Cricetulus griseus: one gene and its partners. The protein of the gene in region 1 interacts with the protein of each later gene in a pairwise test. Links are inferred from orthologs where the notes say so. Each region holds a gene or a part of one and is shown in the gene's direction. Other genes may lie near its edges. The genes, in order: keratin, type I cytoskeletal 40; Zgpat; Josd1; Lage3; Dock2; Rwdd2b; Pimreg.

Region 1 (4,167 bases):
CATATATGTAGTATGAACAATATGAAAGGTTCAGGCATTATGCTGGCCTGCCCCTGTTACCTGGTGGAATCCACTCAGGCAATACCCTGGTCAGCCCAAGGTTCCATGGGAAAGAAGTCTGCACGCAGGTGCAGAGGACCCCTTTAAAAGATAGGCCCCTGCACCTTTCTCTCTCTCTCTCTCTGCCCCTTTACGCTCGCGCGCTCTCTCTCTCTCCCCCTGTTCCTGCTCTCTGTCCCCTCTCTCTGTTTCCCCGCTGTCTCTCTATGGCGACCGGCCATGGCGGTCAGCCATTACCCTGTCCCTCTTAGTCTCCCCATTCCATTCTACCGGGCCTTATAATAAACTTATAGTCTTAAGTCAATATGTCTGTCTCAATATTTCTCTTTTCTTCTTTTTAAACAAAAGAATAACACAATACCTTATGTCTGAGCCTCAACACCAAAATAAATGAATGATAACAGCTTTTTAAAAGTAGCATAAGGAATCTAACATGGAAATACGAGAAGGCAAAGCTTATGTGTATGACCATCCACTCTGAGCATATCCAATCTCAAAAACTAAGCAGGGGTGGTCATGATCACTGTTTGGCTAGCGATAGAATGTTTGAGATAACCAAAGACCACAATTCAGATCTTGACAACCACTTTCTGTCTTGGCTCACAGGACACAACTTATTCTCATTGTTGTATAAAATGATCTCACGTGCTTTACACTCAGTATATACACCTTTCTCTTTACCATGTAAGCACAGGCTTCAAGGACACACACACACACACACACACACACACACACACACCACACGCACGCACGCACGCACGCACGCACACACGCAGGCATGCATGCCCTTCACGATTGCTAACTATCATTGTGGTGGCTGGTAGCACAAACAAATACATGCAATTTAATGAGCTGTGGTGTCCACTTTTAAAGTAGACAAGAGCAATCGATTTTCAAAATCAAAACCTATGGAAATATTACTTTCTGTATCTCTAATGAGCTCTACCTATGATTACCAATGGCTCAGATTTTCTCTTGGGTTCCTTATTCTTTCAACGGGATAATGTTTCCTATGGCTATTCGCTAAAATAAGGATTTTATCCAAGCAACACGTGGAAATGACAGTCGTCCTGATTTAGTAACCTGAACTTATCCTCCTTTTACGAGGCATAAAACTTCCTCGGTAAATAAGCAACACTAATGAGATGTTTGTAGGAAAACTAGCACCCGCGGTGCTAGAGGAAACATCGGTGTGGCCTGTAAACACCCATTTGAAGGGTGATATAAAGGTCTCAGGGGGGGAAGGAGATGTTTGGAGACAAGACCTCGGCACTACAGCATCCGGTCTGTTCATTCCTTCACAGAAGATGGCTTCTGATGGCTCCCCTGGGTGCTGCTCCTCTGAGCCCTGTGCAGAGGCTCCGGACTGTGCGGCTGCCTCACCCTGTCCCACCGATACAACTTGCCTGCCCAGTACCTGTGCCACATCCAGATGTCAGACCCCGAGCTTCCTCTGCAGGGCTCACCTCTCAGCCGGTCGCCTCTCACCCTGCTACTTCGCTGGCGGTTGTAACAGTCCGTGCCTGGTGGGGAGCTGTGCATGGTGCGAGGAAGGGGCGTTCAACAGCAATGAGAAGGAGACGATGCAGTTCCTGAATGACAGACTGGCCAGCTACCTGGAAAGGGTGAGAAGCCTGGAGGAGAACAATGCGGAGCTCGAATGCAGGATCCGAGAGCAATGCGAGCCCGATGCCCCATTGGTGTGCCCAGATTATCAGCGTTACTTCGACACCATTGAAGAACTCCAGCAAAAGGTTGTGTGTCTCATTCCCTAATGTTCTCTGTTTCCTGTTTCAGAATTCTCTTATATTTACAGTGGCGCGGGTTGTTTTATGGATGTAAAACCAGGGAGGAGGGATTCCCAGAGCTGGTATGCTGCCAGGAAAAGAGGGCCATAGATGGCAAGAAATCTGTCTCAGTATCAGCACTATTGACCATAGAAATGTCATGTCTGTGTGTAGACTATGTCATCTACAGAGAGGGGGAATCTGAATTATGATATCTAAAATCTGTTCTGCATGTATCATTACTTATTTATATTCCTTATCAAACAGACATCAAATGCCATCTCTTTTAGTTCACCTGGTAATCATTTTCCTTTCGTGTGCATGTAGAGAGGGAATACATGCTGTCAATGAGGCCTGAGGTCAATGGCAAGCGTCTTCCACTCCCCGCCTTGTGTTTTGAGACAGAGTCTCTCAAGGGACCTGGGGCTCACTGATTTGACTCACTGGGTGGCTGGCCAGAGAGTCCCAGGGATACTGCTGTCTCTGTCTCCCCTTGCAGGGGTAACAGGCACACACTGCTATACTTAGCTTTCTATACATGAGTTCTACGGTTTGAACCTGGGTCCTCCTACTTGTATTGCAAATGCTCTACTGACAAAGCCTTCTTTCTTTTTTCATTGATGAATTTCTATGACCACAGACAGAGATGCAACTCTAATAAATATTAGCAGTGGAGAAAACTAACAAAGCTCAGCTGTCAATGATGACTGCCAAATGTCCTGCCTTGTGTCACTTATAAAGGAAACCTTGAGATGCAGAAATGACTCAGCAGTGGATAGCAGCACTGTAGCGCTCATGAGCAACCTGAGTTCAGTTCCCAATACCCATATATGGCAGTTCACAACCACCTATAAGTTCATCTCCCGAGGACCTGACACTCTCTTCTGGCATCCTAAGGCAAAGAACAAGTCTACACACACACACACACAGAGTCAGAGAGAGAGAGAGAGAGAGAGAGAGAGAGAGAGAGAGAGAGAGAGAGAGATCAAATACATACACACTCTCACACACAATTGGAAAAAAGATAAAATCTTTTTTTAGAAAGAGAACCTATTTTTATGTCTGTATTTTGTTTCTAAATTGGCACTGCATGTCTCCTTTTTTCTCCATGGTATAGTTATAGGCTGAAAATTATGTTATGCTAATTTTGTTAAGCTAATGAATGGCAGACTGTTAAAACAGAAATGTGGGTTTCTTCCAAAGAGCTGTTGATTACATAATGACTTGCCTCTTAGATACTGTGCACGAAGGCAGAGAATTCTAGACTTGCCGTACAGGTGGACAACTGCAAACTGGCTGCTGATGATTTTAGGTCAAAGTAAGTCAAATTGTATTTATTTTTTAAACCACATTGTATTTTATGTATACAAATTGCATTCTAAATCTTAAATTTAATTTGAAAATAATAATGGCCTCCAGTGATAGAGAATTCTCTGCATGAGATCTTTTTTTTTTAATTTAGAATGTTTGAAACTTGAATTCACCATCATTTGGGATACCCGGGGAATTGTGACATGTGTCTCCCTGGAGGCCACATGTCACTCATCCTTGTACCCCGGCACTTTGGTCAGTGTTTAGCCAAGTAACACACTCCCTTTTCTTTCTCTTGCTGTGAAAGGTATGAGAGTGAACTGTCTCTTCGCCAGCTGGTGGAGAATGACATCGGTGGCCTTCGTGGGATCCTGGGTGAACTGACCCTGTGCAAGTCAGATCTGGAGGCCCACGTGGAGTCCCTGAAAAGTGATCTCCTTTGCCTTAAGAAAAGCCACGAAGAGGTAAGTGAAGTGGCCACTGTGCCAAGGACTATAGGGAGAGTTCTACCGAGAGATTTCATGGGTATAAACTGAACCAGGGCAGACACTGACTAAGCTGGAACAAAACCAGAGGCAGGCCCACTGTGTGGTTTGAGCATCCCAGTGTCTCTCAAGGTAGATGTGACATACAGTGTGTATTGTTGCATAACATCACCCGCCCCAAGTGCCAGGGTGAGGCCACTCTCCCTCCTGCCATTGCTTGGGTGAAGAATTAACTCCACTAATGGCTATTTCTGTAGCTCTACTGTACAACAAGAAAATAGAGCTGTATCCACTTCCAAAAAAGGAATAAATAGTCATGCAATATTAGGAGTAATATTTTTTAGATATTGTACATTTATAATCTTGTTTCTATTATAAGCTTAAGAATGAAATGCAGAGTTACATAATAAAGTAAAACAAAAATGTATTCTTTGCATATTTTGATGGTAGTAACAGCTGACAATTACAGATACCTTAGCATTTCTCAAGAATTTTATAAATTTATTGTCTAACTCTTCCCTGTT
Region 2 (4,166 bases), on another chromosome or scaffold:
GAGACGAGCCTTCCCCACGTCCACAGTGCCAACTGGGGAGAGGATAGAATGAGCTAGCTCCTGACCTTACTCTTTACAAAGTCCCAGCTCTTCCTGGAATGAGGAAAACCATTCTGGTACCAATCCCAGCAGGCATGCACAGAGAGGGATCTGGCCCCTGGCCAGCTGGGCTACGTACGGGCTTGCATCTCTAAGGGACCCAAGCTCATATCCCCCTTACTGTTTAGGCCCACGGTAGTGGTGATTTTGGATAGACTCATCCCTTTGTAGTTCTTGTTAAACCGTGTTTTTGATTGTTCCAAGAAGGTCTGAGGAAAGAAAGAAAGGTGGTTAGGTAGTGGCAGCTAAAGCAGTTTCCTGGTGTCTTTTCTAAATATCCCTCCACATCCATATGCTTTGGGCAAATTCAGGCTTTCACACCCACATGGTTTGGGCAACTTCAGGCCTTCACACCCATACACACATGCACACGAACCTCTGCCTGTTGAATGCTCTTCGGGAGGCTGGTGGCAACTAACCTGTAGTCTTGGGTAGGGATTAGATTTGCAAAGAACATAAGGCAGGGAAAGGGAATTGGTGAGAGAACAGGCACCTACTGTCTTCCCGGCATTGTCCAGGCCTAGGATCAGGATGCAGTATTCATCCTTCTGGAACATGTACTTGTACAGCCCCGAAAGCAGCGTGTACATCCTGCCCTGGCACCCTGAGAAATGTCAAGGTGTGTACCAGGGCTATCGGCCTCCTGTCCGCTTCATCAGTGGTCCGTCGGTCCTGCTAGTTTTCAAATGTGGAGCCTCGTGGCTCGCGACTCCTTGCCCCCCTCTCCCCAGCCCCCGATTCCGGACCCTGCCTCCACCACCGACCACCCGCTAAACCTGGGCCACTACTCCCACTGCGGGTCATCTTTGTGAATACACCATCAGTCCTGAAAAACCCATGGCGGCCTACCCTGCTCCGCCCTCCTAAGGCTTCTTTTCCGGACCCTCAACTCAGCACTGGGAACTTCGACTGTCGTAGCTACCAGAGAGTCAGCTTCTGAGTGGGCCGCCTTTGGATCCCCCCCCGCTGCCGGGCCCACGGAGCCAAAGAACCAGCTGCCGAAGCCGCTTCCCTGCCCCCTACCCCAGGATTCTGGAACCCCGGCCCCTCAGTCCGGCGGAGACCCACCTGCACCTGCTCAGATCTCGGAGCCGCAGACGCCGTCGTCGCGTCGCAAACCCCACCGACCTCGCGTTGACCCCGCGCGGTGCCTGTCGGGACACCGACCGGCCGACTGAGTACGAGAGGGCGGAGCCGCATCCCGACGGCCCCCGCGCGCCCCATCCCGGAGGCTCCCGAACGCGGGCACTTCCGGCAGCATCAGCTCTCGGGCGGAAGTGCCCGCGGCGGGCGGAAGGCTAGCGCGAGGGCTCTGCTGGCGAGGCCGGAAGCCCTTGTAGGCTGCGAGCACCGGCGGGAGGCGGGGCTGCGGACCGCAGAGGACGCGGTGGGATACTTTGCGGTTCCCTTGGCAGCGCCGAGGTCCTCCTCAGCCTCTCCAGCGGCCGGGGAGGGGGCGGCGTTGTCCTGAGCTCTGCCGACTGCTCTTCCCTCAGGTCTCGTCTGCTTTAGCGGTTCCGAAACTAGCCTGCGCGGTGTAGCGATGGACGAGGACAACCTGGAGACGGCCCTGCAGACCTACCGGGCCCAGCTCGGGCAGGTAGAGCTGGCTCTTGGTGCTGGCCTGGACGCTTCCGAGCTTGCGGACCTGCGCCAGCTGCAGGGCGATCTGAAGGAACTGATAGAGCTCACCGAGGCCAGCCTGTTGTCGGTCAGGAAGAGCAAGCTGCTGGCTACAGTGGACCTGGAGCACCAGGCAGAGGAGGACGCTGAGTACTTGGCTTTCCAGAAGGCTGTGGCGGAGGAAGGGGAGGCACCCGTCGCCCCCGTGGATGACTCGGAGACTGTCCCTGGGAGCGTGGTGCGGCCTGGACCCACCTCCCCTGCACAGGAGGAAGACGAGGAGGATCCAGATCAGGAGGAGCTGAGCGGTGCTAAAGTGAATGCCCCTTACCACAGCGCTTGGGGCACGCTAGAGTATCACAACGCAATGGTTGTGGGCACTGAAGAGGCAGAGGATGGTTCGGCATGCGTTCGCGTACTCTACCTGTACCCTACCCACAAGTCCCTGAAGCCCTGCCCGTTCTTCCTGGAGGGAAAATGCCGCTTCAAGGAGAACTGCAGGTAAAGCCCTCTGCTACTAGCAATAAGGGTCACTCGAGCAGGACCACTGCTGTGGCCTGCCGCCTTCACAACTTGTTCTCCACCCCGCAGAATTGATAAAAGAGAAGGGGGAGCTTCAGGTGGCTGACAGGCTTTAACAGGAACATTCCCTGTTAAGTAAACACATAAGTAAACACATTATATTCATTCTCTCTCTCTCTCTCTCTCTCTCTCTCTCTCTCTCTCTCTCTCTCTCTCTCTCTCTCTCTCTCTCCACCTCCCACCCTCCCTCCCTCTTTTTTTGGATACAGAGTTTCACTGTGTAGCCCTGTCTGTCCTGGAGCTCGCTCTGTAGATCAGTCTGGCCTTGAACTCAGAGATCTACCTGCTCTGCCTCCCAGGTGCTTGGGACTAAAGGCGTGTGTCACCACTTCTAGCTAAGATTTATTTTTGTGTGTATTTGTGTGGGTATGTGAACATGAGTACAGGTGCCAGAAGGTGTTGCATGTTCTACAGCTGGAGTTCCAGGTGCTTATGAGCCACCCAACATAGATCCTGGAAAACAAACTCAGGTCCTCTGCAAGAGCAGTATGCTCTCAACCACCAAGCCATTTCTCTAGCTCTATATACTTACTTTTCTTTTTAATTGTGTGTATGTGTGTGTGTTTGTGAATACATGTGTACTTGAGTACAGGTGCATGAGGAGGCTAAAAGAAGGTGTTGGATCTCCTGAAGCAGGAGCTTCAGGACTACTGGTAGTGAACTACTTGGGTCTTCCTCAAAAACATTACACATACTCTTAACCACTGAGCCATCTCTCCAACCTCCAGAGACCACCTATATTCCTTGGTTTGTGGTTCTCTTACATCACTTTAAGCTCTTACTTCCATGGTTACATCTGTACTCTGCACATTTTATTTCTTTACTTTTTCTTTAACATGGGATCTCATGTAGCTTTAAGCTGGCCTTGAAATCCATATATAGCCAAGGATGACTTTAAATTCTTCATCTTTCTGCTTCTACCTCCCTAGGGCCAGGATTACAAGCATGTGCTACCTAGCTTGGCTCTGCACATCTTTTTTAGATCCTAGTAGACTTGACATGTTCCTTGCTCACTCTCTTTCCTTCTCATGCCTATAGGTGCATAAATGATCAGTGTGCTCAGTGGGTTTTCTCCAAGAATACACATGTTGCTATAACCAGTGGCTGCTTTATCTGCCATAGTCTTTTTGTGGGAAGCCCTGTGATGAGAGATTTAATACCTCTAAGTACTTTCTCTGACTGACATATGCTCACTTCTCTGTGCACGAACCTATGGGTAGGCCCTGAACTCATCCCATTTTATATAATTTTTGTTTTATTTTATTTTGTATGTATATATGCATGTGCCATGGTGCTCATGTGTAGGTCAAAAGACAGCTTTTGAGTGTAGGCTCCTTCAACCATGTGGGCCCTGGGGATTGAATTCAGGTCATCAAGCTTGGCAGAAGGTACCTTTACTTGTCAAACCATTTGTCAGTCCCCACCCCACTTTATAGATGGAGAGACAGACACCAAAGCACTAAGTGATCGGTACAATGTTGCTGGCCGTGAGACCACTTCATCACAAGGAGCTGCTTGTGGTATCAATTTTAGGGCAGAACTAAAAGACAATAAAACATCTAACACCATCTTTACAACCATCCAGGATGAATGAGTTGTTTTCTTGAATTTGCTTTAGATTTTTTTTGTTTTGTTTTGTTTTGTTTTTGTTTTTCGAGACAGGGTTTCTCTATGTAGCTTTGGAGCCTATCCTGGCACTTGCTCTAGAGACCAGGCTGACCTCGAGCTCACAGAGATCCACCTGCCTCTGCCTCCTGAGTGCTGGGATTAAAGGCGTGCACCACCAATGCCCAGCTTGCTTTAGATTCTTAAAAATAAATTTAACTAACTCCACCTGCATTACCATAACTTTGGTGTATGTC
Region 3 (3,941 bases), on another chromosome or scaffold:
CCTTAATTCATTACAGACAGAGTGATTTCAAACAACTTAATCAACTTCTTTGTGCTTCAGTTTTCTCCCTCGAAAAGAGAAATGCCTAATGTGACACTTGTCTGTAAACGAGTTAATTTATATATACAAAGCATTTATAATAATGCTGGCTGCCCAGCAAGTCCCTAGGAGCTAAATCCTATGTAAGTACACTGCAATTGATTGGTGGTTTACAAATCACAGAAACTTTTATAAATAGTTTAGGTAGAGGCAGAGGACTCCCTACCACGTGGTAATCACTTATAGCACAACAATGTTGATTGGAATAGTCTTTTGAGGTGTTGGGAAACCACCGCTTTGAAAGTGTAAATCTGTTGTATTCCAAACAAAAATCCAAAAAGAAGGGAGCTAGAGACAATGACAATTTAAATTTATGGGAAACTTCAAATAGTCTGCCTTTTTACACAATGTACTCAGCTAAACTCAGAAAATAGGAAGCCCTCGTTGGTAGAGTACCAGGCCCTGCACAAACTAGGTATTCTTGGTCATTTAATGAGTTCGAGGCCAGCTGGGCTAGGACACACACACACACACACACACACACACACACACAAAGGAAAGAAGAAAACACAAAAAGGAAGGCCTAGTGACAGCCACCAAGAGGAGGTTGCAGAGCAAAAGGGAGTGGTTTGTGTGGAGTGAACGTGAATATGACACTAAGGATCTGAAATAGAACGCTCGTTTCCATTTGAAATATGACTCCCGGCGACGCTCCTGCCCTCCAGCGCTCAAACAGGAGGCGGTCGGGTTCACCAACCAAGATTATGCCCGACCGCGTTGGTAAAATGTTTGGAAATCCGGTGAATATAAGTGAGCCAGGGCAGCAGCCGCTACCCAGGTTCAAGAAAGCACTCCGCCCGGAGGAGGGCCATGCGGCGTCCAGGCGGGAGTCGGAGCCGAGGCGGAGCTGCAGAGAAGCTACTGCAGCCCTGCGGGTCCGCTCCCTGCACCACAAGCCCGGGGACATCCCCCTGCAGCCGGCGCAGGCTTCACACGGACGTCAGGGGTGACGCGAGGTTGGCGGGCGGGGTCAGCGCGGGGGCGTGTCTGGGGCGCGCGCCGTGCGAGCGCCGCTGACGTCGGGCTCAGGTGCGCGTGCCCGGCCGATCTGCCTCCTGCTTGCCCGCGGGCGGCCCAGGTGGTGACCAGAAAGCTCCCGGTGAAGGCGAAGGGGCGACGAACGGTCCCCGTGAGGCTGGCAAGGAGAGGGCGCCAAAGGTCGCCTCACGTGACAGGGGGTCGCCGCGGGTACGGCCAGTCGGGTGGGCTAGGACTGCGTGGGGCGAGGCGGGCGTCCGGCCGCACCCTCGCGGGCCAGGCGGGACCTCCTTGCCGCGGCGCCCCGGACGCCGCTCCCCTTCCCCGGCCCTCCCGCGGCTCCGCCCGCACAGAGGCAAAGCGTCTCCTCCGCTGGGCCGAGTCCGCCAGCCTCCCGGCGGGCATGGAAAACTGTCCCCGAAGCCCCCGCGCGGCCCGCGACCGCACGCCCGCAGGCCCTCGCTAGCTGTTGGCATCGGGCGTTTTCTTCATCAGTCTTCGGAGTCTGTGGCGTTGAGATTCGGACGAAATGGAAGAAAAGGAGCGATGTGACCCATTCGGTTTTGCCCTCCTGCATTGAGGCCTACTTGGCATCTGCAGAGAGGAAAACACAGTCAGGAAAACGTGTTTTTTTTTTTTCCACCCCCCCCCCAAAGGGGGTAGGAGGGGAGGGTAGTGAAAGGGAGGAATCTTGCGTTTTATATGTTCTTTTTAAATTCTGCACTTTGAAAGTGGTGGCTAAATAAACTAATCCAAAAGTTTTGTTTTTTTTTTCTATCAAGAAGACAGAAGAGGTGGATTTTTTTTTCCCTTTTGATTCCAACCTTTTCTCCCAGTGACAAAGCATAAATCATGGACACTAGAGAATAAGGTGAACCCTCAGGAATCTGAAAACAGAGAAGCCTAGACCTTCTGAATCAGGAGGGAAGGAGTGGGGTGTTTATCAGCTCTGTCTGGAACCTAAATCAAAAAACATGAGTTGCATGCCATGGAAAGGAGACAAGGCCAAATCTGAATCCTTGGAGCTTCCCCAGGCAGCACCCCCACAAATCTACCATGAGAAACAACGCAGGGAGCTCTGTGCCCTTCACGCCCTCAACAATGTCTTCCAGGACAGCAATGCCTTCACGAGGGAAACGCTGCAGGAGATTTTCCAGAGGTAAGGCTCCCTTGCTTGGCATTCTCGATCCCCACTTCTTGGTATTTCTGAATTTGTGTGGGTGGTTCAATGCCTCAGGGACAGAAACCTTCAAACCTACAGGTTTGGAATTGGATGCTGTCTGACACCATAAGGAGGACAGGAATGGGAGATGATCACCATCTCTGGTCCATTTGTTGTGGAGTAGCCTCAGTAGTGCTGTTACCACGAATCTGGTCAGATAGGGGACTCCATGTTGTGTGTGTTACTCCCATTTTGTGGTGAAGACAGAGCTCTGCAGAGCTCCTTAATTTCCTCCAAATAACCCAACAAGCCATGGACTCAGGGTTGAGTTCAGGTTCATATCTCTGCTGGTGGTCACTGATATAATGCCTCCCTTCCAGACCCTGTTACCAAGGAATTTACAGTCTAGAAGGGAGACAAGATTCATCCACAGGCAACTGTCACCAAAGGTGGGATGTGATGGGCACCACAAGAAAAGTGTACCCAGAGTGCATAGCTTTTCTGAGGCCATGCATTGGCTGCGGTGCTCTTCATACATTATTTTGTATGATGCTCCTCACCGTTGTTTTACTGACAGAGAAATGGACAGAGTAATTTGTCCTAAGCAGCTTCTAAACAGCAGAGCTGTGAGAGGAGCCCACTCTATATCTCTCCTGCTGCTGTATGGTGACCTTCTTGGGGCTGGTGAGAAATTGAGTGATGATGGAGTGTGCACATTATGCAGAAGGTCCTAGGTGCAGCCCCTAGCACTATGTCCCCAAAAGAAAAATGATTGCCTTTGGGCCCCTTAGAACAAACACATCACTCCACAAGTGGTCAGAGTTCAGCTTTATGCCCATTGCTTTGGCTTTTGAAAAGTCTTTTACCAGCGGCCTTGAGAGTTGTGTAGCATCTTGCTGTACCGAGCAGCATGACTGCAGTCTGTGGCAGCTTTGACGGTGAGCCTGTCTTATCCCTGCAGCTGGAAAAGGCTTGGTATACCCAGATCTCAGGCAGAGCAAGTTCATGGATGCTTTGAAATTCCAGAGGACCTTTTTAATAATCCTCATTTAGAGACAAAATAGCTGCTGCACAGCATTACGGCTAGAATCAGCCTGTTTGGGGTGATTTGTGGAGCCTAGGTGTGGACCACTTATCCTGAAGGAACCATAGGTCTCTCTGGAAAGAGCTCCAACCTGAGTGCTCTTACACAACTATAATGAGAGTAATTCTTTCCCAGTGCCAATAAAGACCATAGTCTACCTTTGCCTTAGCAGGACACATGTGCCATTTGCTTTATGACCACTATCTGCACTTAGAATTCATTCCTTAGGAAAATGTGTCTTTGACCATCCAGTCACGTGACAGAAAGGAGGACACAGGCTTCTGACTGCTTCCTTTTGGGCAGCTGTCATGTTTCTTCTGGGCAGTTCTGAATTGTTTCCTAATCTATAACCAGGGAGAAGGAAATGACTCACCATGAGTACCTGAGTATGTTTGGTACTTTGTAGGGTATACTGACAACCTCAGAGCAACCTTAGCAATGATCTGAGGAAGCAGGACAAGATTATGGAGTTGCCTAGTTTTACCCACCAGTAAATAAATGTTAGATTATTTACAGGTTAGTTAGTCATATTATGTAGTTAGTTGTACTCAGGTTGACAGATTTTGACCTCTATGAGTTTGGCTCCTGGACTGACAGAGGAGTTAACTATCTTGAGAC
Region 4 (3,198 bases), on another chromosome or scaffold:
GGTGGCATAGGGGCAAAAAAAAGGGGGGAACTGGAGCCACATCATACAGGGATCTTATAAACTACTGCAAAGCTTTGGTTTTTATTCCAAGTGCCACTAGAAAACGTTTCAGGGATTGTTGGTTGGTTGATTGTGATAATGGGAATGAAACCAGAACCTTGAAATGCCACATAAATGGTGTACCAAATAAATTCTATCCAATCCACCATGACCTTTTTTATTTTAAGAGTTTTAAAAATGTTTATGTGTATGAGTGTTTGGTCTGTATGTGTGTCTGTGTTTTTTGAGGGTTTTTTGGTTATTTTTTGTTTTTTGTTTTTAGAGGCAGGGTTTCTCTGTGGCTTTGAAGGCAGTCCTGGAACTAGCTCTTGTAGATCAGGCTGGTCTCAAACTCACAGAAATCCGCCTGCCTCTGCCTCCCGAGTGCTGGGATTGAAGGAGTGCACCACCAACGCCCAGCCCAATATACAGGGTTTTAAGCATTGATTTAATCTATACTAGAAATTAGACAGAGTGAGAAGAGTGAGTTGGGCATGGGTAGGATCAAGGAACATTGTACACATGTATGAAATTGTCAAAGAATAAGTAAAAGATATCTTAAATTTGCCAGGAGGTGAAGTTCAAAGCCAGCTTGTTATACAGAGCTAGTTCAAGGACAGCCAGGGCTAATACACAGAGAAGCCATGTTTCGAAAAATCAAGAAAAAGAAAAAGAAAGAAATTAGAAACTTTTGTGGGGGATATGCTGTAGACAAGAAGAAGATCAATCTCAGAGCTTTTGAAGGTGTGATGCAGAGAGAGAGGCTAGACAGATAGTTTAGTGATTAAGAGAACTTGCTGCTTTTGCAAAAGACCTGGGTTAAGTTCCCAGAACTCACATAAAAGTTTACAACCACCCATAATTCCAGTTCCAGTACCCACATGGACAACAGGCACTACACACATGTAAAAACAGGCAAAACATTTATACACATAAAATAAAAATAAATAAATCTTAAACCAGATGGTGGTGGCACACACCTTTAATCCCAGCACACTTGGCAGGCTTGTATCTGTGAGTTTCAGGACAGCCTGGATATCTCTCTCTCTCTCTGCATCCCGAGTGCTGGGACTAAAGGCATCTGCCACCAATGCCCGGCTCCTTAGATCCCTTTTAAAAAGAAACTGAAGGGAAAGCTGGATGTGGTATGGCACTTTGGAGGCTGAGGGAGACTAGATCAATCTCTTAGAGATCCCAACAGAGGCCTCCAGATGGGGACCGACCCAATTTAGCAACTTTGTCGCCCGCCCATTCCCGCAGGTGCATGTGGGATTGGCAGCCTGAGCGAGGGCGGAGCTTCCGGAGGATAAGGCGGGCTCTGGGCCGTAGCGATGGCGGAGGGTGGCTTGGAGGGTGGAGCAGCGGTAGACATGCAAGCAGCACACAGTTTAGGCCACACTGCAGATGGCGCCGATTCCCCGACCAGCTGCTGCTGTCCCGGTGATGCAGGCGCAGTGGCAGTTATTCCCAGTGGAGCTCACCCTGCTGCACGAGCATCGGAAGTCTCCGGTTGGAGCAAAAGCACTGTTCCTTTAACCCAAAGGCCGGGAATCCGACATCATAGATTGTATCCTACCGGACAGGGACAACTGGGTCACTTTAGGGATGCTTCAGGAGGGAAAAGGGGTAGTCTGGAGACGGGGGTGGGGTGGAGGGGAGCAGGGGGACCGGCTGATTGAGGTCTGTTAACCACGGGAGGTCTGGGCATGAGAAGATAACAGGGGGAGGGGAACCGGAGGGTGGAGGGAATGAACAGGAATTGCCCAAGCAATGTGCAAGATGTAGTCTGGGGAGCTTAGACCAGATGAGATGGTTTTAGAGGGCCAAGTAGGCGAAAACGATTCAACATGGTGCCTTTCCTGAGTCTCTACCAGTGCCCTTACAGTGCCTTTCCCGACCTCTTTGGAGGCAGAAATCGCCTGTGGGTCCCTAGCTCCTGATGCCGAACCGCACCGAGGAATCTTGGGGAAAGACCTTAAAGTCAGCGGCTGCATGCTGGAGGTGTAAGTGCTGAAAGAGTCTGGCATGCTGGGTAGGTGGCTGGACTATTCTCTACCCAAGACTGCACTTCCTTAGAGACAGCACACTAGGGTGACTTCTAAGAAGACTCTTGGTGCAGTGGACCAGTCTTTACCTGCAGGATATGGTACAGTGGGAGCCTGAGGGAAGATCCAGAAAGGTAGGAGCCAGGAGGCAGAGGCAGACAGATTTCTGTGAATTCCAGGCCAGCCAGGGCTACATCGTGAGATTCTCTCTCTTTCCAAAATAAATAAGGAAAGAAGGATAAGAATTACTATTTTAAACTTAATATTCTTTTTCCTCACTCTTAGACACTGGATCTCAGAAGACTCTCGCCTCCTCCGAATTTCCATCATGAACTTTCTTGACCAGCTCGCCCTAGTGGTGAACACCATAAAGCGCTTTGGGCCCCCAGTTTCTCGTTAAGCCTGCCTGGGAAAAGGGGCTCAGATCTGACCTTATGTCGGTTCCCTCCAAAGCAGACAATTTTCTGGAAAACATTCCAGAAATAGTACCTGCTACTTAAATGTGGGGCCTAATATTTTTTTGCCTGACTTGGTCCTCAGGCACTTAGGGGCCACTTGTTTAGTTTGGTGCTCAAATGTTGCTGAAGAAAATAAAGCTGTGCTTCTAATCTGTATTTGAGTATTTTCAACCTCAAGATTTTCTTTGTGTTGGAGGAGAGGTATTTGTTGTATAAAATAAGAGTATTCACCTAATGTTGTGAGGTCCTTGATTCAATCCTCAGCAGTGAAAAACTACATTAGTAGAAAGTAGAAGAAGACAATTACAGAAATAGAGGAAAATTAAAAACACAAGCACCCTGTCATTTGGGGCTCACTTTGGGAAACTTTTGGTATTAGAATTTTATCAATATAATAAATGTGTAGCAATATCATGAGGCCCCTCTTCTGAGGAGATATTGGCAGTTTATGGCTGCTGGGGAAATGGAGTTGTTTTTCTTCAGTAGTGTAACCACTGTTAAGTTGCTCATAATTCTGTAAATAACCCCACATCCATGATCATGCAAGCAACCCTAATTAAATTCAGTGAGGCACTAATGAAAGACATGAAAATGGAGATGTAATTGTTAAGAAGAAGGGGTTGAATAGAGGATAAGAAAGGACAATAGGGGATGGA
Region 5 (3,981 bases), about 63 Mb from region 1:
GTAAAGTTGCTTCTGTAAGTGAGTGTTCAGAGCTAGAGATGTAATAGTCGTGCAGGGAACACACACACACACACACACACACACACACACACACACACACACACCTCTCAAAACTTTTTGAGACAGGGTCCTTCTGCTGTTCACAGCTCCAGGAACCTATGTCAGTGACTCAGGCAGCCATCATCAAGACTGCCATCGCCATGGGGAAAGGAGACTATGACAGTGATACTGCACAACCTACTCCTCCCTGCAATGGTGTGGGCGATTCCAAAGGACTAGAGGAGTCTGTGACAACTCCTAAACCCAGGAACTAACAGTTTGTATGAGAAAGCAGGTTCCCTTGGTGTTTTTTGTTTGTTTGTTTGTTTTTTGTTTTTTTTTGGAATCCCTACCCCTGACTTCCACCCTCATGATGGGGACTGAACCCAGGACCTTGCACTTGCTAACTATTACTATTACTATTACTTGCTAACTATTACTGAGTTAAATCTCCAGTCCATGGATGGGAATGCATTCCTGAATGTTAAGTGCTCCTCCATGAACACTACAACCATTAGGGAACAGTGTGATTGTGGCCTGCAGGAGCCTGAAGGGTTTGTTCTGGTGAGCTCTAGGTTGGCTGTGCTTGGTTAGGAATCAGATGTTTTGTGTTGCTTTCTTTTGTTGTGATGAAATGCTTGATGTAACAGCTTCAGAGGAAGGGTGTTATTTTGGCTCACCATTTCAAATGAATTTCTGACCACCATGGGTGGAAGGCATAGCAGAAGGGCTATGTGGTGGTTGGAAGCTCCTGGCAATGACTTGTCATATATGAATAGATCAGGAAACAACGGCTGGAATTAACAAAAGGCATAATCAAAGGCCCACCCTTAGTCATTCGTTTCCACCAGCCAGAACATCTTAAAGGCTCACAACCTTAAACAGTGTCGCAATCTGGTAGTTTTCAAACCACTAGCTCATCCTGTCCTACTTATTGGACAAGGGGGACTGTGTGGTTGGTAACAGAGTAGTAGAGAGCCCTGCATGTTAGGATTCTGTTGCTGAGATGGGGAGATGGGGATCAGAAGGCAGCCCAGCTTAGAGGGTGAGAGTATGGAAGTTAGATTAGAGTTTCCTGGCATTTCTCATCTTGGCTACTTTGGCCAGAATTCCATTTCTGGCCTCACAGCTCCTGCTTCACAATGGGTTGCTTGTGGGGAGGGAAGAAGAAGATACGCAACCTCATGCCTGGAGCACAGCAAGAGGCCAGATGTGTGGATGGTATAAGCAGTCTCCTGTCACCAAGACTACAGTACAGGACCAATGTGGGAAGAGGTTAGGTTCAGTTTTTAAGAGGGTCCGGTTGATGATTGAAGAAGGCAGTTGGCTTTTGCACTGGCTTTCTTTAGTCCATGCGGGCTTCATAAGTGTGAGGTCCACTGAAGGCAGAGGAAGCAAGGTGGAGCAAGGAGTCAAGATACCTAGAGGTCTAACTGACTGTCTCCATGTTCCATTTCACAGCCATCTACAACTTCCAAGGCAGTGGAGCCCAGCATCTCACCCTACAGATTGGCGATGTGGTGCGAATACAGGAGACCTGTGGAGGTGAGTCGTAGTTGACTATGTGCCCCTCAGATGCTGGTTCCTTCACCATAGGAACCCAGGTACTTTCAGTACTCTCTCTAGGTCTGCACTTGCATGACATGTTTAGACACATGGTGCTAATGTATTACAGTCAGCCTTTTGTGCCCATAGGTTCTGTATCCATGAGTTCAACCAACAACAGACAATATTGCTTCTGCAATATGTATATTCAATTCATATCATTACTCCATAAACAACATAACACTATGATTATTTGTATGACATTGCCACATATTAGGTGTTAGAAATGGCATAGAGATGATTTAAAATATGTGAGGACCTCCATATGGTCTACATAGACATGGTACCATTTTATATAAGGGGCTTAAATATCTGTGGGCTTTTGTGCGGCAATCCTGGAGCCAATCTCCCCAGTATTTTGAGAAATGACTGCAATTAAAGTTTACTGAACAAAAAAAGTGTTTTATTATTTTAGGAATGTTAGTTTCATAACAAAGGCCTAGCTGGCTGACTTGATGTTTGCTATGCTCTGCATTTGCCACAGTCAGGGGACTATGGGACTTTGGGCCTTTGGATCTTTCTAGATGTAGTTCTTTATTAATATGTACACTATTGTAAAGAAAAATAAGCATCATCAAGATGCAGGAGGGTGCCGTAAATTATCCTCCTGACTCTGAGAGAGAGAGGCCGTGCCGTACAGTAGTGTTATATAAACGTAGCTCCCAATGGAGGAGGGACCCAAGCTGAGGCTATGTGGGTAAAGTTGCAACTCTTGACTCCTGCAAATCCATTTGGTCATGAAGCTAAGTGTATATTGAGTCTAGTTCACCCTCGATGGTTGTGGGAAGGGGTGCATCTTAATATTTTCTAGAAGACTAATGACCTTAGATTTAAAAAACAGGCAACTGGAAATTATCATCTATGTTACTGACACACTTGATATTATTGGCAGGACTGGCGTGTGATAACGTAATGAGTTTGTTAATGTGTCACTGATGATCAGCAGAAACCCCCATCCCACACACCCAGGCTAAACTTCCAGAGTTCTCCCTTGCTGGGCCAGCTTATGACTACTTCTGCACAAAAGACACAGAGTAGAAGCAGTATCCTGTGGCTGGCAGAACAAAGGATGAAGCAGAGACTTGTCTGAGAACACAGCTGTGCCATCTCCCAGTGAATCCATCAGACAAGGCCCTGGAAAGGAGTTCAGGATGGTAGGGACAGGTGTGCTGCAGGATAGGCCTCTGCTGGAACACAGGAGCCACGAGCCGTCTTGTCACTTCCACAGACCAGACACTGCCCTCCATCCTGGAGAACACAGAACCCTACTCAGGACTCATATCAGCCCACTAGATAGGTAGAGTCCTCTGCGATCTTGGATAAGCTGCATGAGGCTTCTTAGGCAGTGGAGCCCCTGCTTCTCTGCAGATGTGTGCAGAGTTGTTTATGAATGCATGCACACCAACATGACATTCATACAAACACCTATAACCTCCCAACAAAGATACACTCATGTGAATTCACAGCTACCCATAAACATAGCACACTCACAAGCACACACAAAATCACATACAAACATGTACACATAAAAACAGATGCGAACCAAGAAAACAAGCAAATAGAAAACCTTTCTTTGAAGAGGGTAACCTGAGAGCTGCTTGCGTGTAGGGTCATATGCTTTGGCAGGATTCTTTTTTTGGGTTACAACTAATAGGGTGCCCAGGACTAGGAAGCATCCCAGCCTTGGCTTTTTAAAGCCTTTTGAATACTCAAGATGAGTGTGGTTCAGGAAGTGGGTGGGGGCATGGTGAGGAGTGGGTGGGTAAGGGGATACCTTCTTGTAGACTCAGGCCTGTTATTCTAAATTTACCACCCCTTCCCACAGTACAACCCTAGCTACAGTACAGCCCTATGTTTTACACATCTAATACTACCCATTGCAGAAAAACTTTTGTATATTGTAATCTTCTCATCAGTTTTAATTACTTAGTATAAGCTATCTATTTAGACCAAAAATATATCTTTTTAAATATCTCAAGGCTAACAATGATTAGCTTTGGGAGGCTGGAACACTGAGTGATAATTATGTCACACTTTGTGCTTTCTGATTGTTTTCAAAGCATCTGAATCAGAATAGTACTTCCTCTACTAGCTCAGGGATCTCTGCTCAGGGGCTTCGGGTTCCTCACCTGAAGAGTTGTGATCACACTGCTCCTGGACTTGTTACCTGAATCAAAAAAGGGAGACTAAAGGTGTTTGACTCAGGGTCAGCATTTTGTGTTCCTTTCTTTCACCCAGTAAATCTGCAAGAGAACCAGTATGGGTACCTATCTATGCAATATGGGTCGTGGTCACTTGGAAGCTGAATTTTTGCATGCCTAGAATGGATGGGATTAG
Region 6 (2,521 bases), on another chromosome or scaffold:
GAGAACTGTATCTTATAAATTCTACTTTGAAAACCTGTTTTTCAGACTCAGAAAACTAAACTGGAAGAGAATTTTAATTCGCCATCGAGAAGACATGCCTTTGGATGGCACAAAGGATGGAATGGAGAAACAGCGGCGATTTGCCAGTTTTGAAGAAAAGGTATTCAGTGTCCATGGAGCCAGAGGAAACCACATGGACTTTGGTCAGCTGTATCAGTTCTTAAATGCCAGGGGCTGTGGGGATGTTTTCCAGATGTACTTTGGTGTGGAAGGACAGTGACTGAGCAAAGGGGCTGTCGGACCTGTGGAGTCCCTGTTCCTCCTTTGATTATGTCTTCTCATTCTTTCTCAAATTTTAATTTTAGTTCCATCCTAGAATGTTACAGAGCAGGCTGGAGAAATGGCGTAGAGGTTAAGAGCGTTCACTTCTATCACTACCGGCTTAAGTTCAGTTCCCAGCGGCCATGGCAGGCAGCTAGTGGTGGTCATCTGTAACTCATACCTTCAAGGTATCTGGTGGCCTCTGTCCTGCACACGGGTGCATGCACAAACATACACACATACATGTACTCAGGGCATCAGATCCCAGAGAGCTGGAGCTACAAGAAGTTGTGAGTTGCCCAGTGTGGGTACTGAAACCAAACTTGGGTTTCTGCAAGAGGAGTGCATACTTTTAACCACTGAGCCGTCTCTTCAACCTGGTGGAAATTCTTGACATGAACTGGACATGATGGTACATGCTTGTAATCCCAGTACTTGGAAAGTAGAGAAAAAGAGGATCTGGAGTTCAAGGCCAGCTTGGGCTACATAAGGCTGTGTCTTAGAAAACAAAAATAAAGTATTCACAGAAACTTTTGAAAGACAAGTTATATGTCTTTCAAAGGACATATGAAGGCAGTTTTGATGGTCCAATTTGCTAGGCATTTCCGACACCCGTCTGCCTTTACTGAGGAACCTGGGAAAGCTGTCTGCCCTTGGTCTCTGTTGAAACTATATCCGGCTATAAATTGCAGCTGCAGGATTTCTGGGGATTTATTTGCTTCTCTTTCGCCATGAATCTTGAAGTGATGGCAGCAACAGGGAAGGATGGCCCAAGACAGCTGCAGAGGTGCCATTCCCCCTTACCATCCGGGGACCAACATCAATCCCTGGTGATCTTCAGGCCTTTGGAATAAAATGAATTTTCTTATCACTCATTTATTCATTCATTTATTTATTTTGTGTAGCCCAGGCTGTCCTTGGACTCACAGAGGTCCTCCTGCCTCTGCCTCCCAAGTGTTGGGATTAAAGGTGGACGCCACCATGCCCAGCCAATCAGAATTTAAGGCTGTTTTAAAACAGCAAGGACAGAGGTTGGGGACCTTGTAATCACAGTCACTCAGTTTCAGGATGCCAGGGCTCTGCAGAGAGACCCTGTCATAAACAAACAAACAAAAACGAAACCCAGAAGTGCTAATGATGTCCCAAGTGGAAAGTGCACAAAATTTTCAGAAAACTGCATCACTGGAACTTCCTTCAGTCTTTGAACAAGGCACCGAGGCCGGGTGAATCTGTGTCATGTCCTTCCAGCATGGTGCAGGTCTCCCGTTCCTGCCACTTGGCTGTCTTCTTTGCTCCTTGGCAATGTGCCGGCCTTCCTTCCCTCAGGTGGCTTCCCTCCAGCCGATGCAGAAACCGTCTTAGTTTTCTTTTCATATTGCAGATATCTGGACTCAATCACTCTTCCTCCTTGTACTCTCCTTCTTTTTGTCTTGTGGGAACCAATGGCTGGGGATTTCCCTCGAGCCATTTTTTCTGCCTTCCACTCAAAGGTGAGCTTCTCAGGGCCCACCGCCCGCTGGGAAGCAGGAGGACACATAGGATGGGAGGGTGTTCTCTGCATTGAGAGTGCCCGGTCATAAAATGAACTTTTAAAGTCTCTGTGATTGTTATCAGTAGCCAAAAGTTAATCTGTCAAACCCCCCACCACCAAAGCTTTGACTTTGAAACTATAACCTACAAAAATAAATTGTTTTTCCTCATCGGTGTTTATGGTTCATTTCTAATTCTAGGTACTTAGACCTGGCCCCTATTTGTACTTGCTTCACTGAAGACTGAGAGGCATGAGCAGAGCTCAAACACTTTTTTTTGTTGTTGTTATTTCTTTGTTTTTTTTAGGACATGTCCTCAATGTATAGTCCTGGCTGGCTTGGAACTTACTGTTATATCACGCTGGCCTTGAACTCACAGAGATCTGTCCTCTTCGACCTCCAGACTGCTGAGATTAAATTGTGTGTGACACTACACCTGGTTTGAACTCAGAATTTTTCCAAAAGTCCTTGAGAGTTCAGATTTTAAATTCATGGAATCTAGTTTTTGCAAATTAGAGTTTGATAAGTTTTCATTCTGGACATGACTTTCTGTAATTTTATTTTATTTGAATTGGTAACCAATTCAATGCCCACTGAATGAATGAGTAGATAAAATATAGTATTTATTATAAAGCACAGTGTAGAATTCAAAGAGACACAGCAAGACACTT
Region 7 (4,274 bases), about 27 Mb from region 1:
TGTGATAGGTAGGGTTTTAGTTGGGGGGGGAGTGGCAGGGGAGGAGGGAGGAGAGGAAACTGGGATTGTCATGTAAAACAATCTTGTTTCTAATTCAAATAAAAAATAAAAATAAATAAAATAAATAAAAAAGCAGAACATCAAAACAACAAAAATAAAAACTGGTACATGGGAGAAATCATAGCAGGCTGTTTGTTGTTGTTGTTGTTGTTGTTGTTGTTGTTGTTGTTGTTGTTGCTGTTGTTGTTGTTTTAAGCTTGCTGGGAAACTAAGGGAAAGATGGAAAGATGTCTGGGGCAAGACCAAGCGGAGGACCTGACTTAACGGGTGGAGAGGTGGTTCTACAGTCTGCCCCCTCCTCTGAGATGTGCTTTCTTGGGTGCCAGCCGGGTGGTGAGTTTGAGGAAATGACAGGGGCTGGGCGGTCTCTCAGGAAGGAAGAGGTTCAGGCGGGGGAATTTGAAACAAAACTTCCCAGGGAACGCAGAGTTCGGCAGTCCCAGCCGAACATTCTACAAAACTACTGGATGCGGGAAGTTAGGTGGGGTGAAGGACGGAAGGGATGCCCTGGGTGGCCGTGACCTGCGCTCTCGCAGCATCCCGCAGAGCAGCCTGACCGTAGGCTCTGGGAAGGGCCTGGACATGCGATGGACAAAGCGCGACCACTGGGAGGTGGCAAGGGGACTGGGCGGTGACTGACTGCTGGAACCTTTGCTGCGATCCAGGCGGGGGTCCCCAGAGATGTATGGGCGTGGCCCGGCCAATCCCAAAGCACGATTTATGGTCGCGAGAGAAACAGACCAATCGGAATTCAGGGGAGGTGGCGGCGGAGGGCTGATAGGGCCAATGGGCTGCGAGCACCAGGCTGGGGCGGGGCCGCGCGGAGTTTCAAATCTGCAGCGGTGGGCGAGGAGCGGGTGTTGATCTTCGGGTCCCCGGTATCAGAAAGGGAGGTGAGCGCACGGGGACATCGAAGGGCTTGGGGGGCGGGGTGCGGGGGGGACTCACGGGCAGCTCTGAGAGCGGAGCGGGCCAGGAGCTCTAGACAGGACCCGCAACGCAAAGGCGGTGTCTGGAAATTTAAAGCACCTTATCGGATTCGAGGCTTTGGCGGGGTGGCCAGAGTCTGCTCCATAGAGGAGCACGAATTTGTGAAAGAGCCGCTTGCTGATGGTGTCCTGCATAAGCGCCGAGACTCGGTAACCTCTGTGCCTCTCCGCTGAGCCTTAGTGAAGGAGGCTGGGATGGAAGTCAGACAATTTGCCGCCTTACAGTCGAGGCAGCTGCTGACCATGACGCCATGGTCATCTTTCTGGCATCCACAATTGCGCAACAGGCCCACCCAGATATGTTCCACTTCATCCCTTCCCCAGTTCCCAGGGTCTCTGACGCCTGGGAAATAGGGCCAGGGAGTATTCTGTTGACCTTTTGACCTCTCCAGGAACTAACCAGCAGAGGAGACTGGACCAAGCACATGGCGTCTCAGTGGCAGGGCATGACGGCCTCCATGCGCAGAAGATCACTCCTAAAAGAGGAACATCTAGAGAAGACGGTGACCCGGTCTGCTGAGGGCCATCAGGAGACTGGTCCCCTGGGCTCCCTGTGCAGACAGTTCCAAAGGAGGCTGCCACTGAGAGCTGTCAGCCTCAACCTCGGCACTGGCCCCTCCTGGAAACGCCTGGAAACCCCAGAGCCAGAGCAGCAGGGTCTTCAGGCTGCAGCTCGTTCCGCCAAAAGTGCTTTGGGTGCTATGTCCCAGGTAACAGTGACACCACTAGCCATTTGTTTACAGAAGTGTGCTATCCTCAGGAAGGCCCCAAGAATATAGAGTCAGTGGGGTCTTGGAGTTTGATTAGGTCCTGGCAGTTTCCCCCAACACCCTCAGTCATTCTGGCACATAATAGTTTTCCAACAAATCAGTGAGTGAGTGAGAAATCTCATGGAAGAAATTGATGCTCTCCGTGCAAGGTAACCTGCTGTGCCCTATGAGAGGAAATTGCAAGAAATGGCTAACTATAAAGAGATGCCAGTCTCAAGCTTAGTGGATAAAGACTCCCTAGAATAAAGACTTCCAAGATAACTCGGGAAAGGGGCGGTATATGGAGGCGCAGGACCAGGAGGATGGTGTGAGTCCAGCCTGGATGCTGAAGTGGCCTTGGTGTGAGGACTAAGTCACAGTGAGTGGGGACAGGGATGGTGTGTGATGACCCCTGTCTAGATTCTCCCAGTCAGACTACTTATTTCACTTTGGCTGTCAGCTACTTGGTGGGAAAAGGCAGAGGAGCAGGGCTTGCAGAAGGGTGCAACTTCTTGAGCGGTTCAGAGGCAGATTTGAGGGGTGGTGTCTGGGTGCAGTGTGCCCAGGAGCAGACATCTTTTTTAATGTTTATTTAAATGTTTGCGTTTATTTATGGGAGGAGAATTCACGTAATGGTATTCGTCTGGAGGTCAGAGAACAACGTGCAGAAGTACGTTCTCTCCTTCCACCTTGTGGATTCTGGGGATCAAACTCGAGTTGTCAAATTTTGGTGGCAAGAACCTCTACCTGATGAGCTATCTCACTGACCCCACACAGGTCTTTAACCCTGGAGTGGAAGATGCGGGCAGGTGTGCCCTGGAAAGGGCAGCAGCTATGAAAATGAGAATACCTGCAACGAGAGAAGCGGGGGGGGGGGGGCATCTCCCTGGGCATTCTGGTGGTGTGGAGAGAGAGCAGAGGCTCTTGGCAATGCTACAGAGAGGCCTCCTAGCCAAAGTCTAGCTCTGACTTGGAAGAGCCCTAAGATTGCTTTCAACAAATATAGCTCAGAGCAATGAAATGTGACATCTTGTCTAAGGTCACCCAACTCATCAAACTTACCTTGGGCCTTGCTCCAACCTCTGGGCTCTGATTTGCCAAGACAAAGGCAATCTAAGCAGAACTGTTTGATCAGGCCACATGTAAAAGATCCAAGGGTTGGGACTCGGCCCTGTAGATTATAGGGAGCCATAGAAGGGGTTATGATCAGAACTGTCATTGAAGGATCTGTGTGGACTAAGATGGAGGAGGGAAGAGAAGGAATGAGAGCAGAGGGGGATGGCAAGGGGTCCAGTAGTCAGGAAACTGTACCTCCCTCATTGTCTGGGTTAGTCTCTCCCAGAGGGCTTCAAATGTGGAGCCATCTTCTTGCGACTACCTGTTGTGTCCCTGCGCTGGGCCTCTGGGAAGGTCTTATAGGGAATCATACTCACTCTTAAGACTAACAGCAGACTGTATTAGTGGGACAGACCCTAGGATGGAGGGATAGCAAAAGGCTGGCAGCCCACCTTGGTCCTGTCTCTGCTAACCTCTGCTAACCTTCCCACATGAACCCATCACAGAGGATCCAGGAGTCCTGCCAAAGTGGCACCAAGTGGCTAATGCAAACACAGGTCAAAGTGAGGAGAAAGCGAGGAGCCCAGAAGGACAGAGGATCCCCGCCCAGTCTGAGCCAGAAGAACACTCGGCTATACAGGGCCAACCGGGATGCCAGAGTCGGGGGACATCCTCGCCTCTCTGGCCAGATGGGTCCACATGCCCATCGACGTCATCGGCTAAGGAGGGAGGCTGCCCTCCAGAGCCCCTGTTCCTCCACAGAACCTCTCTGCTCTCCCAGGCAAGTAGTCTCCGAGCCCAGTGTGATTTCCCTTTCTGTCCCACAAGTCTCCTCAGTGTTACCTAGGGTGAGGACACTCTGACCTGTCATATCCCTGTTCTGGCTCAGATCTGCCCCAGAGCTAGTGAGGACCTGAAGGGGAAAAAACCTCTCCAGAACTGTTTCCCTACCTGTGAAAGGGACAGGAGATGAGTTCTACTCCATTCTAGATAGGAAACATCTAGAAATCCCAGGCACTGGTGCAAGGCCAGCAGCAACCGTCATCTGACTACAAAATAATTTTCCATGGCTCAGCCTCACAGGTTTGCATGTCACATGCTGCAGTGAGGCTCTAGTGAGGCTTTCCCAGTCACCCGGGGTTGCCTGGCCCCTGCTCTGGGCTCTTGCTAACCCCTGCATCCTCTTGTGTTCAGTGAGTCTGACAGTGACCTAGAGCCTGTGGGGGCTGGAATCCAGCATCTCCAGAAGCTGTCACAAAAGCTGGACAAAGCCATCAAGGCTGAAGAGAGGTGAGCTGCATCCTGGGGTGCATCAGGGTGAAATGGCCATGGGCCCCTTGAGCCATACTGTATTTCTAGAGAGGGTTCTGGTTCCAACACCAATCTGCCACATGACCAAGACCAGTCCCTGTCCCTCTGG

What was found.
Region 2: the proteins of keratin, type I cytoskeletal 40 (region 1) and Zgpat interact in binary tests that used the Homo sapiens proteins (3 or more experiments, as listed by UniProt). The two-hybrid records come from large-scale screens. The link is inferred for Cricetulus griseus from reciprocal best matches to the Homo sapiens genes KRT40 and ZGPAT.
Region 3: the proteins of keratin, type I cytoskeletal 40 (region 1) and Josd1 interact in binary tests that used the Homo sapiens proteins (3 or more experiments, as listed by UniProt). The two-hybrid records come from large-scale screens. The link is inferred for Cricetulus griseus from reciprocal best matches to the Homo sapiens genes KRT40 and JOSD1.
Region 4: the proteins of keratin, type I cytoskeletal 40 (region 1) and Lage3 interact in binary tests that used the Homo sapiens proteins (3 or more experiments, as listed by UniProt). The two-hybrid records come from large-scale screens. The link is inferred for Cricetulus griseus from reciprocal best matches to the Homo sapiens genes KRT40 and LAGE3.
Region 5: the proteins of keratin, type I cytoskeletal 40 (region 1) and Dock2 interact in binary tests that used the Homo sapiens proteins (3 or more experiments, as listed by UniProt). The two-hybrid records come from large-scale screens. The link is inferred for Cricetulus griseus from reciprocal best matches to the Homo sapiens genes KRT40 and DOCK2.
Region 6: the proteins of keratin, type I cytoskeletal 40 (region 1) and Rwdd2b interact in binary tests that used the Homo sapiens proteins (3 or more experiments, as listed by UniProt). The two-hybrid records come from large-scale screens. The link is inferred for Cricetulus griseus from reciprocal best matches to the Homo sapiens genes KRT40 and RWDD2B.
Region 7: the proteins of keratin, type I cytoskeletal 40 (region 1) and Pimreg interact in binary tests that used the Homo sapiens proteins (3 or more experiments, as listed by UniProt). The two-hybrid records come from large-scale screens. The link is inferred for Cricetulus griseus from reciprocal best matches to the Homo sapiens genes KRT40 and PIMREG.

Annotation. Positions count from the first base shown.
Region 1 is NC_048600.1:113,048,948-113,053,114, forward strand, and holds the start of keratin, type I cytoskeletal 40, read left to right. Parts: upstream 1-1,367; coding exon 1,368-1,814; intron 1,815-3,082; coding exon 3,083-3,165; intron 3,166-3,465; coding exon 3,466-3,622; intron 3,623-4,167. UniProt on the Homo sapiens protein: May play a role in late hair differentiation.
Region 2 is NC_048599.1:540,403-544,568, reverse strand, and holds the start of Zgpat (zinc finger CCCH-type with G patch domain-containing protein), read left to right. Parts: upstream 1-1,366; 5' UTR 1,367-1,642; coding exon 1,643-2,223; intron 2,224-4,166. Other genes in the region: Arfrp1 (ADP-ribosylation factor-related protein 1), read right to left, coding at 1-32, 221-308, 597-689. UniProt on the Homo sapiens protein: Transcription repressor that specifically binds the 5'-GGAG[GA]A[GA]A-3' consensus sequence. Represses transcription by recruiting the chromatin multiprotein complex NuRD to target promoters.
Region 3 is NC_048595.1:376,857,760-376,861,700, reverse strand, and holds the start of Josd1 (josephin-1), read left to right. Parts: upstream 1-1,141; 5' UTR 1,142-2,051; coding exon 2,052-2,236; intron 2,237-3,941.
Region 4 is NC_048604.1:1,362,682-1,365,879, forward strand, and holds Lage3 (EKC/KEOPS complex subunit LAGE3), read left to right. Parts: upstream 1-1,336; 5' UTR 1,337-1,370; coding exon 1,371-1,606; intron 1,607-1,913; coding exon 1,914-2,042; intron 2,043-2,369; coding exon 2,370-2,484; 3' UTR 2,485-2,698; downstream 2,699-3,198. UniProt on the Homo sapiens protein: Component of the EKC/KEOPS complex that is required for the formation of a threonylcarbamoyl group on adenosine at position 37 (t(6)A37) in tRNAs that read codons beginning with adenine.
Region 5 is NC_048600.1:49,789,972-49,793,952, reverse strand, and holds the start of Dock2 (dedicator of cytokinesis protein 2), read left to right. Parts: upstream 1-1,181; coding exon 1,182-1,314; intron 1,315-1,500; coding exon 1,501-1,584; intron 1,585-3,981. UniProt on the Homo sapiens protein: Involved in cytoskeletal rearrangements required for lymphocyte migration in response of chemokines. Activates RAC1 and RAC2, but not CDC42, by functioning as a guanine nucleotide exchange factor (GEF), which exchanges bound GDP for free GTP.
Region 6 is NC_048597.1:9,901,857-9,904,377, forward strand, and holds the end of Rwdd2b (RWD domain-containing protein 2B), read left to right. Parts: intron 1-45; coding exon 46-280; 3' UTR 281-2,021; downstream 2,022-2,521.
Region 7 is NC_048600.1:85,882,761-85,887,034, forward strand, and holds the start of Pimreg (protein PIMREG), read left to right. Parts: upstream 1-1,474; coding exon 1,475-1,759; intron 1,760-3,360; coding exon 3,361-3,635; intron 3,636-4,048; coding exon 4,049-4,144; intron 4,145-4,274. UniProt on the Homo sapiens protein: During mitosis, may play a role in the control of metaphase-to-anaphase transition.